Saccharomyces cerevisiae S288C: one gene and its partners. The protein of the gene in region 1 interacts with the protein of each later gene in a biochemical or structural test. Each region holds a gene or a part of one and is shown in the gene's direction. Other genes may lie near its edges. The genes, in order: CBF2, CBF1 and CEP3.

Evidence for each region.
Region 2: the proteins of CBF2 (region 1) and CBF1 form a complex in vitro, tested with the Saccharomyces cerevisiae proteins (2 studies listed by BioGRID).
Region 3: the proteins of CBF2 (region 1) and CEP3 form a complex in vitro, tested with the Saccharomyces cerevisiae proteins (4 studies listed by BioGRID).

Annotation. Positions count from the first base shown.
Region 1 is NC_001139.9:765,788-769,387, forward strand, and holds the start of CBF2 (Cbf2p), read left to right. Parts: upstream 1-1,641; coding exon 1,642-3,600.
Region 2 is NC_001142.9:546,548-550,341, forward strand, and holds CBF1 (Cbf1p), read left to right. Parts: upstream 1-2,211; coding exon 2,212-3,267; downstream 3,268-3,794. Other genes in the region: protein kinase PTK2, read left to right, coding at 1-1,696. UniProt on the Saccharomyces cerevisiae protein: Required for chromosome stability and methionine prototrophy. It is involved in chromosomal segregation. Binds to a highly conserved DNA sequence (5'-RTCACRTG-3'), called CDEI, found in centromeres and in several promoters.
Region 3 is NC_001145.3:597,254-601,091, reverse strand, and holds CEP3 (Cep3p), read left to right. Parts: upstream 1-1,933; coding exon 1,934-3,760; downstream 3,761-3,838. Other genes in the region: aldehyde dehydrogenase (NAD(+)) ALD3, read left to right, coding at 220-1,740. UniProt on the Saccharomyces cerevisiae protein: Acts as a component of the centromere DNA-binding protein complex CBF3, which is essential for chromosome segregation and movement of centromeres along microtubules. CBF3 is required for the recruitment of other kinetochore complexes to CEN DNA.

The DNA of each region.
Region 1 (3,600 bases):
ATTAAATATTAAACTTGATATAGTAGGAGAAGGAAGTTGTATATTGTTCTCTATAAACACAAACAATAAAATGATATATTTGTTTTCTTATTTCTTCTTGATGTCTTCAGGAAAAAAGAACATAAACAAATACAAAAAAATCCTAGTACGAAACCTCAAAAGGGTGTATGCGCAATGTATATATATAGCAAGAAAAAAAAATAAACAGTGGCATTACAGTGCATGCGGATGGCAGTGTTCTTCGGTGGCTTTTTCGAAAAACCTAGAATGCGTTTAAAAGACTCAGACACCTAAGCAGAATATGCGAATGACTCGTTCAGTAAAATGCGACGCGACAGTTTGTTTTCGTTCTGCGCTGCTGTGTTCTCTATTCTTTTGAGATGAATTTAACGGCTATGGAATCATCTCGAGAAATCGGTTCTAGTAAGGCACCAAGACATTATGTCCCTCGGGAGGAGAAGGGCGCACGCGTCAGGCTTCCACGACGTCCGCCGTGCATGCGCTCTCGCATTTTTAAGGTTTAGTGCGGCAGGCGACTGCGCTGCGGCCAGCCCGTGAGACCACCCGAGGGAATTTGAGTAAGCGCGCCCATTGCGGGGTTTTTGCGGTTTGCGCTGTTTTCCGCACGAGGTTTCTCCGGACACAGTTAAGCAGTATATTTCACTCGGAAGCGCCGGAAAATTTTTTTAAGCGCAAATATATTCAGGTAAGCAGCAAAAAAATACTTTTTCCGGTGGCCCGTGATGTGTTTGTAACAGCTTCTGCGGTACTTTGGGCGGCTAAATGGCAAATAGATCAGGGGAAGGGTTTTTGCATAGGTACAAAATAACCGGATTTTGGGTAAGATTCGATCTTCGGCACTTGTGGCGAAGTAAAAGTGTTGAAAAAGTTCGCGTAATAATAGTGTTAGCCGTTTCAGCTTCGTCCATAAAGTACATATCCACAACTCTCATGGTGCGAAGTACAAACATTGAACGGCAGCTGTCTTGCTCAGCTAGTGGTATGTAAGCAGCCGCATTCTATTTTTATTTTCGTGCCTTTAAGTGTTAAAACCTGAGGCAGATTTTTTATTTTTTTGCATTCCCCTTCCTTTTTGCCGTAATGGCGCATTCAGTGCTGATATATTTATACTTCAATGGTGCTTCTCCTTACTTTTCTTATAGAAATAAACATCAAAACATGAACCTCAAATTCATCCGAAAATGACTGCGGCCACTCACCTTGCTTCTTCCCCACAAATATTTGTGTTCTCTGCTTTCTTTGTGTGTACTTTGTCTTGCTCTATATAACTTTCTCTCTGCTGCTGAGTCTTCAAATAGGTAGATTGATGCCTGTGGACTTTTATACAAAGGAGTTTGAGTGATTACATTCAAGATAAACGTGAAAAGTTATTATTATATCTTATGCTAAACAACAGTGTAATTGCGTTTGTTAAGCACAATCTCAAAATAATGCGCTAACAGTGGTGCGCATACTGCCATTTGTTATGGGCTATAATCGGATAGTGTATTCTTCTTGTTTGGTTATGTATCTCAACATCCAGGTATCCGTTACCCCACTTTGATACCAGGAACCTTTCGCGTTTTCTCTCGCTTTTATTTTTTTACCGCATACAAACAAACAAGAAAAAGTAGAAAACATATGAGATCATCGATTTTGTTTCTACTAAAATTGATGAAAATTATGGATGTTCAGCAACAGCAAGAAGCTATGTCATCAGAAGATAGGTTTCAGGAACTGGTGGACTCCCTAAAGCCAAGAACTGCGCATCAGTACAAGACCTACTATACTAAGTACATACAATGGTGTCAGCTCAATCAAATTATACCGACACCGGAGGACAATTCTGTAAATAGCGTCCCCTATAAAGACCTGCCAATATCTGCTGAACTGATACATTGGTTTTTGTTAGATACATTAATAACCGATGATAAGCCTGGAGAGAAAAGAGAAGAGACTGAAGATCTTGATGAGGAGGAGGAGAATTCATTCAAGATCGCTACGTTGAAGAAAATTATAGGCAGTCTCAATTTTTTGTCAAAATTGTGCAAAGTTCATGAAAATCCAAATGCTAATATAGACACAAAATACCTGGAGTCAGTCACCAAGCTTCATACCCATTGGATAGATTCACAAAAGGCAATCACCACTAATGAAACAAATAACACAAATACTCAAGTGCTGTGTCCACCATTATTGAAAGTGTCTTTGAATTTATGGAACCCAGAAACTAACCATCTCTCTGAGAAATTTTTTAAAACCTGTTCTGAAAAATTAAGATTCCTGGTGGATTTTCAATTAAGAAGTTATTTGAACCTTTCATTTGAAGAAAGATCAAAGATACGATTTGGTTCCCTCAAGCTCGGTAAAAGGGACAGAGACGCTATAATTTATCATAAAGTAACTCATTCGGCGGAAAAAAAAGATACGCCGGGCCACCATCAACTCCTTGCATTATTACCCCAAGATTGTCCATTTATCTGCCCTCAAACTACATTAGCTGCATATTTGTATTTAAGGTTCTATGGTATACCATCTGTTTCGAAAGGGGATGGCTTTCCCAATTTGAACGCTGATGAAAATGGCTCACTTTTACAAGATATTCCCATACTAAGAGGCAAATCACTGACAACTTATCCCAGAGAGGAAACATTTAGTAATTATTATACAACCGTGTTTAGGTATTGCCACTTACCTTATAAAAGAAGAGAATATTTCAACAAATGTAACCTTGTTTACCCAACTTGGGATGAAGACACTTTTAGAACATTTTTCAATGAAGAAAACCATGGAAATTGGTTAGAACAACCTGAGGCCTTTGCGTTCCCTGACAAAATACCGTTCGACTTCAAGAAAATCATGAACTTCAAATCGCCCTACACTTCGTATTCTACAAACGCTAAAAAGGACCCTTTTCCGCCTCCAAAGGATTTATTAGTTCAAATATTTCCGGAGATTGATGAATATAAAAGACATGATTATGAAGGTTTGTCTCAGAATTCAAGGGATTTTCTAGATTTAATGGAAGTTTTACGAGAAAGATTTTTGAGCAATCTACCATGGATTTACAAATTCTTTCCTAATCATGATATATTCCAGGACCCCATTTTTGGAAATTCCGATTTTCAATCATACTTCAATGACAAAACTATACATTCAAAGGGTTCACCCATTTTATCATTCGATATACTACCAGGCTTTAATAAAATCTATAAGAATAAGACAAATTTTTACTCACTCTTAATAGAAAGGCCTTCGCAGTTGACATTTGCTTCGAGTCATAATCCAGATACACACCCCACTCAAAAACAAGAATCTGAGGGGCCATTACAAATGAGTCAACTTGATACTACACAATTAAATGAATTATTGAAGCAACAGAGTTTCGAATATGTGCAGTTCCAAACACTTTCTAATTTCCAAATTTTATTATCGGTATTCAATAAAATTTTTGAGAAATTGGAGATGAAAAAATCTTCAAGAGGCTATATTTTACATCAGCTTAATTTATTCAAAATTACCTTGGATGAAAGAATTAAGAAATCTAAGATTGACGATGCCGATAAATTTATACGTGATAATCAGCCCATTAAAAAAGAA
Region 2 (3,794 bases), on another chromosome or scaffold:
TGATACGGACAATAAACCTATTGGTTCGGGTGGGTCTAGTGAAGTTAGAAAGGTTAAATCAAGTTACAGGCAAAAGGATGTTTACGCTCTAAAAAAACTGAATATGATATACCACGAGTCACCCGAGAAGTTTTACAAGAGATGCTCCAAAGAATTCATCATAGCTAAGCATTTAAGTCATAACGTTCACATCACGAATACTTTTTATCTTCTAAAAGTTCCCACGACCACATATACAACTCGTGGTTGGGGGTTTATTATGGAACTAGGTGTTAAGGACCTCTTCCAACTGATGGAAAGAACAGGCTGGAAGAACGTTCCCTTCAATGAAAAATATTGTCTTTTCAAACAAGTGGCCCAAGGTATTAAGTTTTGTCATGACAATGGTATTGCTCACCGTGATTTGAAGCCCGAAAATGTTTTAATTTCTAAAGAAGGTATATGCAAATTGACGGATTTCGGTATTTCTGATTGGTACCATGTGATACCTCATGACTACACTAGTCCAGTGAAAACATGCCAAGGTATGATTGGCTCTCCACCATACACTCCGCCAGAGGTAATGTACTTCGATGCCAAGAAGCACTACCCCGAAAAGTTCCAAAAACCCTATAATCCGTTGGCCATGGATTCCTATGCCCTCGGAATCATGCTGATTACCATGATTAACAATATCATCCCCTTCATCGATTCTTGTAACACTGATGCGAGATTCAGGGAATTTGAAGTGTCATATGACAACTTCATCAATCATCAAAACCCACATTTCAGGGACAAGGGCTGCCACAAGCCGGGTCCTGGTTCCGAATACTCTTTAGCAAGAAATTTCAAGAATACTGATGCCACGCGTATCGCATGGAGATTGGCTGACCCGAACCCTGCAACTAGATATACAATGGATGATTTATTTAATGATCCGTTTTTCCAACAAATTGAAACATGTGTCGAGCCAAATGATGATGACTTAGTAAGGGTTCCTGAATTAAGGAAAAGTACTTCTACCAATGATTTTAGTGAAAATTCATTAGATGCACCCCATGATCAAGAGGTCATTCACACGTCTAATCCATTCCTAAAAAAGGAAACGCTCACTTCTAAACCAAGATCGATGTTGGAAATTGCAGAATCTCCTTCCTTGAAACAAAAATCCAAGGTAAAAGATAGCGCAAAGACCAAAACACACGATGTTGGGGATGAAGGGGGGAATGAAAGCACCAAACCTAAGCAGCAAGATAAAAAGGAAAATTTGAAGAAAGATGAGGTCAAGAACGGCGACAAGGACAAAGTCATTGAAGAGGCTACCACGACTAATGTGGACAGCATATTGGAAAAACCAACACCAACCTCCACAAAAGTAGAGGACAACTTAAGCGAAGATGATTCCACAATGAAGGAATTAAAGTCGATGCTAAACTCCACCCCTACTACACCAACACATAATGGCCCCACTCCGCTCCCTGCAAAGGCTGGCACTCAATTAGATAAGCGTATGAGCGACCTATCACTCAAATCGGAAACACCGGCTTCTACAAAGAACTTTAGCGCACCGAATGTTTCGTCATCAAGCAATTCACTGAGAAGCCTCGGAAGTCCAAGCGTGTCATCCTCGAAAAAGAAGAAGGTAATTCACCACCACTTGGACATTACCAACAGCGTTACAAACATGTCATCCGTGAGCGCCTTTATCTCAAGATAGACGTTAGGACTTCTTTAATTCCCTCTTTTATGCTTTAGTATCGTCATATTCTTTCATACCCTTCCTTATAAGCTTTTTATATAAAATATCCCACCGGGAAAAGATAAAGAACGGAAGATAAATCAAACAATGAAATAAAGCACACACATATAAATCCACATATGTACTTATATATTTTACTTCAAACAATAAACAAACATTTTATTATTTATTTTTCCCGTACATCGATGTACGTGATCGGTTTTTCTCATTCCTCTCGGATCCTTCGGGACCACCATGTCTCACCCACCAAGGTCAAAAAAAAAATAAAATCGGACGAGAAAAGTATTGGGCAAACAACAATTATCCACGTGCTTATCACGTTTTTTTATTTAATGTAGAATGTAAACCATTATACCTTAAAGATAAACACTTTGTTAATTAATCATTTTAGTTGGCGGTCATTTTCATTTCTGCTACAAGTACCAACATCAAGTGCTTAAAATATAATACGGTTTTCTACACTTTTATTAACGATGAACTCTCTGGCAAATAATAATAAGCTTTCTACTGAGGATGAGGAAATCCATTCGGCAAGAAAAAGAGGCTATAACGAGGAGCAGAACTACAGCGAGGCCAGGAAAAAGCAAAGAGATCAAGGCTTGTTGTCACAAGAGAGCAATGACGGAAATATTGACTCTGCTCTGTTGAGCGAAGGGGCTACGCTAAAAGGGACTCAAAGTCAGTATGAAAGCGGACTGACGTCTAACAAAGATGAGAAAGGAAGTGATGACGAAGATGCGTCAGTGGCTGAGGCTGCTGTTGCCGCTACCGTCAATTATACAGACTTAATCCAGGGCCAGGAAGATAGTTCTGATGCCCACACATCTAATCAAACGAACGCGAATGGTGAGCACAAGGATTCCCTTAATGGGGAAAGAGCCATAACCCCATCAAATGAAGGAGTCAAGCCAAACACCTCCCTGGAGGGAATGACGTCTTCACCAATGGAATCTACACAGCAATCTAAAAACGACATGCTCATACCATTGGCAGAACACGATCGTGGGCCAGAACACCAACAGGATGATGAAGACAATGATGACGCTGACATTGATCTCAAAAAGGATATAAGCATGCAGCCGGGTCGTCGTGGAAGAAAACCTACTACTTTGGCCACAACAGACGAGTGGAAAAAGCAAAGAAAAGACTCCCATAAAGAAGTCGAAAGGCGTCGCCGCGAAAACATCAACACTGCAATCAACGTTTTAAGCGACCTCCTGCCCGTGAGAGAATCAAGTAAGGCAGCAATATTGGCGTGTGCCGCTGAATACATTCAAAAATTGAAAGAAACCGATGAAGCAAACATCGAAAAGTGGACGTTACAAAAATTGCTTAGCGAGCAAAACGCATCGCAATTAGCCAGTGCAAATGAGAAACTGCAGGAAGAACTGGGAAATGCTTACAAAGAAATCGAGTACATGAAACGCGTTTTAAGGAAGGAGGGAATAGAATACGAGGATATGCACACTCACAAGAAACAAGAGAACGAAAGAAAAAGCACTAGGAGCGATAATCCACATGAGGCTTGAGAGTTAAAAATAGATAGCTAAATGTATTTCGAGTCTCCCTATGTATCTGCGTCTCTGCCCCATAGCACCTCTGTTAAGTTTTTATCAATATTCCATCGGCATATTTGAAACCGCCCGGATGGTATTAGAGAATCACTCAGCCTCAAACTCAGCAAGTAAAAGAGGACGGGACGGACTTTCAAATATGTCTTTGTACGTTATTGTTTTTCATCCCTAAATGGCTTAGTAAAAAAGTTTTGCCAAGAATTTTTTGACGTTCAATGGAAAAATCGCCAAGAGAAATACGCACAACCTCCGTTTTCCCGCCTTTTATCAAAAAATCTTAGTTTTCCCTTCCTTTTTTTTTTTTTGGGTCGCAGAAAAGAAAAAAGATAGTAGTGGAGAGGATTACCTGAAAAAAACAGGCAAAAACGTCACATCCTTGAAGGTCCGCGACAATCACGGGCCTATTTCTACTTTGGGGCTTTGCTTGATTATTTAAGAAGAAACATTGGACGAAGATCAAGTAAGAGTGCACTTGTCTTTAG
Region 3 (3,838 bases), on another chromosome or scaffold:
TAAACTCCCTAAGGGTTAAGGAATTAGTAAGTTTAGGGAGGAGACAGGGAGATTGTTCAAACGAATAGCGTAGATTTAACTGATCATACCTCAGAAACTAATTGTATAAAATGGCAAATCTGGATGGGAATAAATTTGACTCATGCCAGGTAATTATACCTTGGACTTGTATCATAGAGATATAGATTATACACATTTAGAAAATTAGCCAAAAGAAAAATGCCTACCTTGTATACTGATATCGAAATCCCACAATTGAAAATCTCTTTAAAGCAACCGCTAGGGTTGTTTATCAACAATGAGTTTTGTCCATCATCAGATGGAAAGACCATCGAAACTGTGAACCCAGCTACTGGCGAACCGATAACATCCTTCCAAGCAGCTAACGAAAAGGATGTAGACAAAGCTGTGAAAGCTGCCAGGGCTGCTTTTGATAACGTTTGGTCGAAGACATCTTCTGAGCAACGTGGTATTTATCTTTCAAACTTATTAAAACTTATTGAGGAGGAGCAAGACACACTTGCCGCATTAGAGACTTTAGACGCTGGTAAGCCTTTCCATTCCAATGCTAAACAAGACTTAGCCCAGATTATAGAACTTACAAGATACTATGCGGGGGCGGTCGACAAGTTCAATATGGGTGAAACCATTCCATTGACTTTTAACAAGTTTGCATATACTCTAAAAGTTCCTTTTGGCGTTGTTGCTCAAATCGTTCCATGGAATTATCCTCTAGCTATGGCTTGTAGAAAAATGCAAGGTGCCTTAGCGGCCGGTAACACGGTTATCATCAAACCTGCTGAAAATACCTCTCTATCTCTACTTTATTTTGCTACTTTAATTAAAAAAGCAGGTTTTCCACCTGGTGTTGTCAATGTCATTCCTGGTTATGGTTCCGTTGTGGGGAAAGCTTTAGGAACCCACATGGATATCGACAAAATATCTTTTACGGGAAGTACTAAGGTTGGCGGCTCAGTATTGGAAGCTTCCGGCCAATCGAACCTTAAGGATATCACACTAGAATGCGGTGGTAAGTCTCCTGCTCTTGTATTTGAAGATGCAGACCTTGATAAGGCTATAGAATGGGTAGCAAATGGTATTTTTTTTAATTCGGGACAGATCTGCACTGCAAACTCAAGAGTTTATGTTCAAAGTTCGATCTACGACAAGTTTGTTGAAAAGTTTAAAGAAACTGCAAAGAAGGAGTGGGATGTTGCAGGAAAATTTGATCCGTTTGATGAGAAATGCATCGTTGGTCCAGTTATATCAAGTACACAGTATGACCGCATCAAAAGTTACATAGAACGTGGTAAAAAGGAGGAAAAGTTGGACATGTTCCAGACCTCTGAATTTCCTATTGGTGGAGCTAAAGGCTACTTCATTCCCCCAACCATCTTCACTGATGTACCAGAAACATCTAAGTTGCTGCGTGATGAAATATTTGGCCCGGTTGTGGTTGTTAGCAAGTTCACAAATTATGATGACGCTCTGAAGCTGGCTAATGATACTTGCTACGGGCTCGCCTCTGCGGTCTTCACCAAAGATGTCAAGAAAGCGCACATGTTTGCTCGCGATATTAAAGCAGGAACTGTTTGGATCAATCAAACCAATCAAGAAGAAGCTAAAGTTCCTTTTGGCGGATTTAAGATGAGTGGTATTGGTAGAGAATCAGGCGACACCGGCGTTGATAACTATTTACAAATAAAATCAGTCCATGTGGATCTTTCATTGGATAAATAATTCGTTACATAGTTATATAAATGTTTACATGAGATTCAAAGCTTCATATTCTATGAAATCTTTATTTTTTACGGCTTTAAATGAAGTGCGCGCAGCCATGTAAGCTAAGCGTAAGAGAATGAAATATTATAACCAACCTTCAGAGAGCAGGTGATGACAAAAGTTACGAACACGAGTTTGCATCCTAATAATAATGTTTAACCGTACCACTCAACTGAAATCCAAGCATCCCTGTTCCGTGTGTACGAGGCGAAAAGTCAAATGTGATCGTATGATACCGTGTGGAAACTGCAGGAAGAGAGGACAGGACTCCGAATGTATGAAATCAACAAAACTAATAACGGCTTCATCTTCCAAGGAATATCTCCCTGACCTATTGTTATTCTGGCAAAATTATGAATATTGGATAACGAATATTGGGCTGTACAAAACAAAACAAAGAGATCTTACTAGAACACCAGCTAATTTGGATACTGATACTGAAGAATGTATGTTTTGGATGAATTATCTTCAAAAAGACCAATCATTCCAATTGATGAACTTTGCTATGGAAAACTTAGGTGCTTTGTATTTTGGTTCCATTGGAGATATCAGTGAATTATATTTGAGGGTGGAACAGTACTGGGATAGAAGGGCAGACAAGAATCACAGTGTAGACGGCAAATACTGGGACGCACTAATATGGTCTGTCTTTACCATGTGCATTTATTATATGCCAGTCGAGAAGTTAGCAGAAATATTTTCAGTATATCCTCTCCATGAATATTTGGGTAGCAACAAAAGGCTCAATTGGGAAGATGGTATGCAATTAGTCATGTGCCAAAATTTTGCACGCTGCTCATTATTCCAATTGAAACAATGTGATTTCATGGCGCATCCCGATATAAGGCTCGTTCAAGCATATCTGATTTTAGCCACTACAACTTTCCCCTACGATGAACCGTTGTTGGCAAATTCGCTCCTAACACAGTGCATCCATACCTTTAAAAATTTTCATGTGGATGACTTTAGACCTTTACTTAATGATGACCCCGTTGAAAGCATCGCTAAAGTAACCTTGGGAAGAATATTCTATCGCCTGTGTGGATGCGATTATCTTCAATCGGGGCCACGCAAACCAATTGCACTTCATACAGAAGTATCCTCCCTATTACAACATGCAGCATATTTGCAGGATTTGCCTAACGTTGATGTTTACAGGGAAGAAAACAGCACAGAGGTCTTGTATTGGAAAATCATCTCATTAGACAGAGATTTAGATCAATACTTGAACAAGAGTTCTAAACCTCCCTTAAAAACATTGGATGCTATAAGGAGGGAGCTCGATATTTTTCAATACAAAGTAGATTCGTTGGAAGAAGATTTTAGATCAAATAACAGCAGATTTCAAAAATTTATTGCACTTTTTCAAATATCTACTGTTTCCTGGAAATTGTTTAAGATGTATCTCATTTATTATGATACCGCAGATTCACTACTAAAGGTTATACATTATTCTAAGGTAATCATTAGTCTTATTGTTAATAACTTCCATGCAAAAAGTGAGTTTTTCAACAGACATCCGATGGTGATGCAAACCATTACGCGCGTGGTCTCTTTCATCTCCTTTTACCAAATTTTTGTGGAATCGGCTGCTGTCAAACAACTTTTAGTAGATCTAACTGAACTTACTGCAAATCTGCCCACAATATTCGGTTCAAAACTAGATAAACTAGTTTACTTGACCGAAAGGCTCAGTAAATTAAAACTTTTATGGGACAAGGTACAGCTTCTAGATTCAGGTGATTCGTTTTACCATCCTGTTTTCAAAATACTACAAAATGATATTAAGATAATTGAGTTGAAAAATGATGAAATGTTTTCTCTCATAAAAGGACTCGGGTCTTTGGTACCGTTGAATAAGCTTAGACAAGAATCGTTGCTTGAGGAAGAGGACGAAAACAATACGGAACCAAGTGACTTCAGAACTATTGTAGAAGAGTTTCAATCCGAATATAACATTTCTGACATACTTTCCTAACTGCAACCATATTTCATATCCTTTGAAATCTCGCGGATGAATCGTTAAAGGAAAGGGCATACACTTTCAAATGAAACA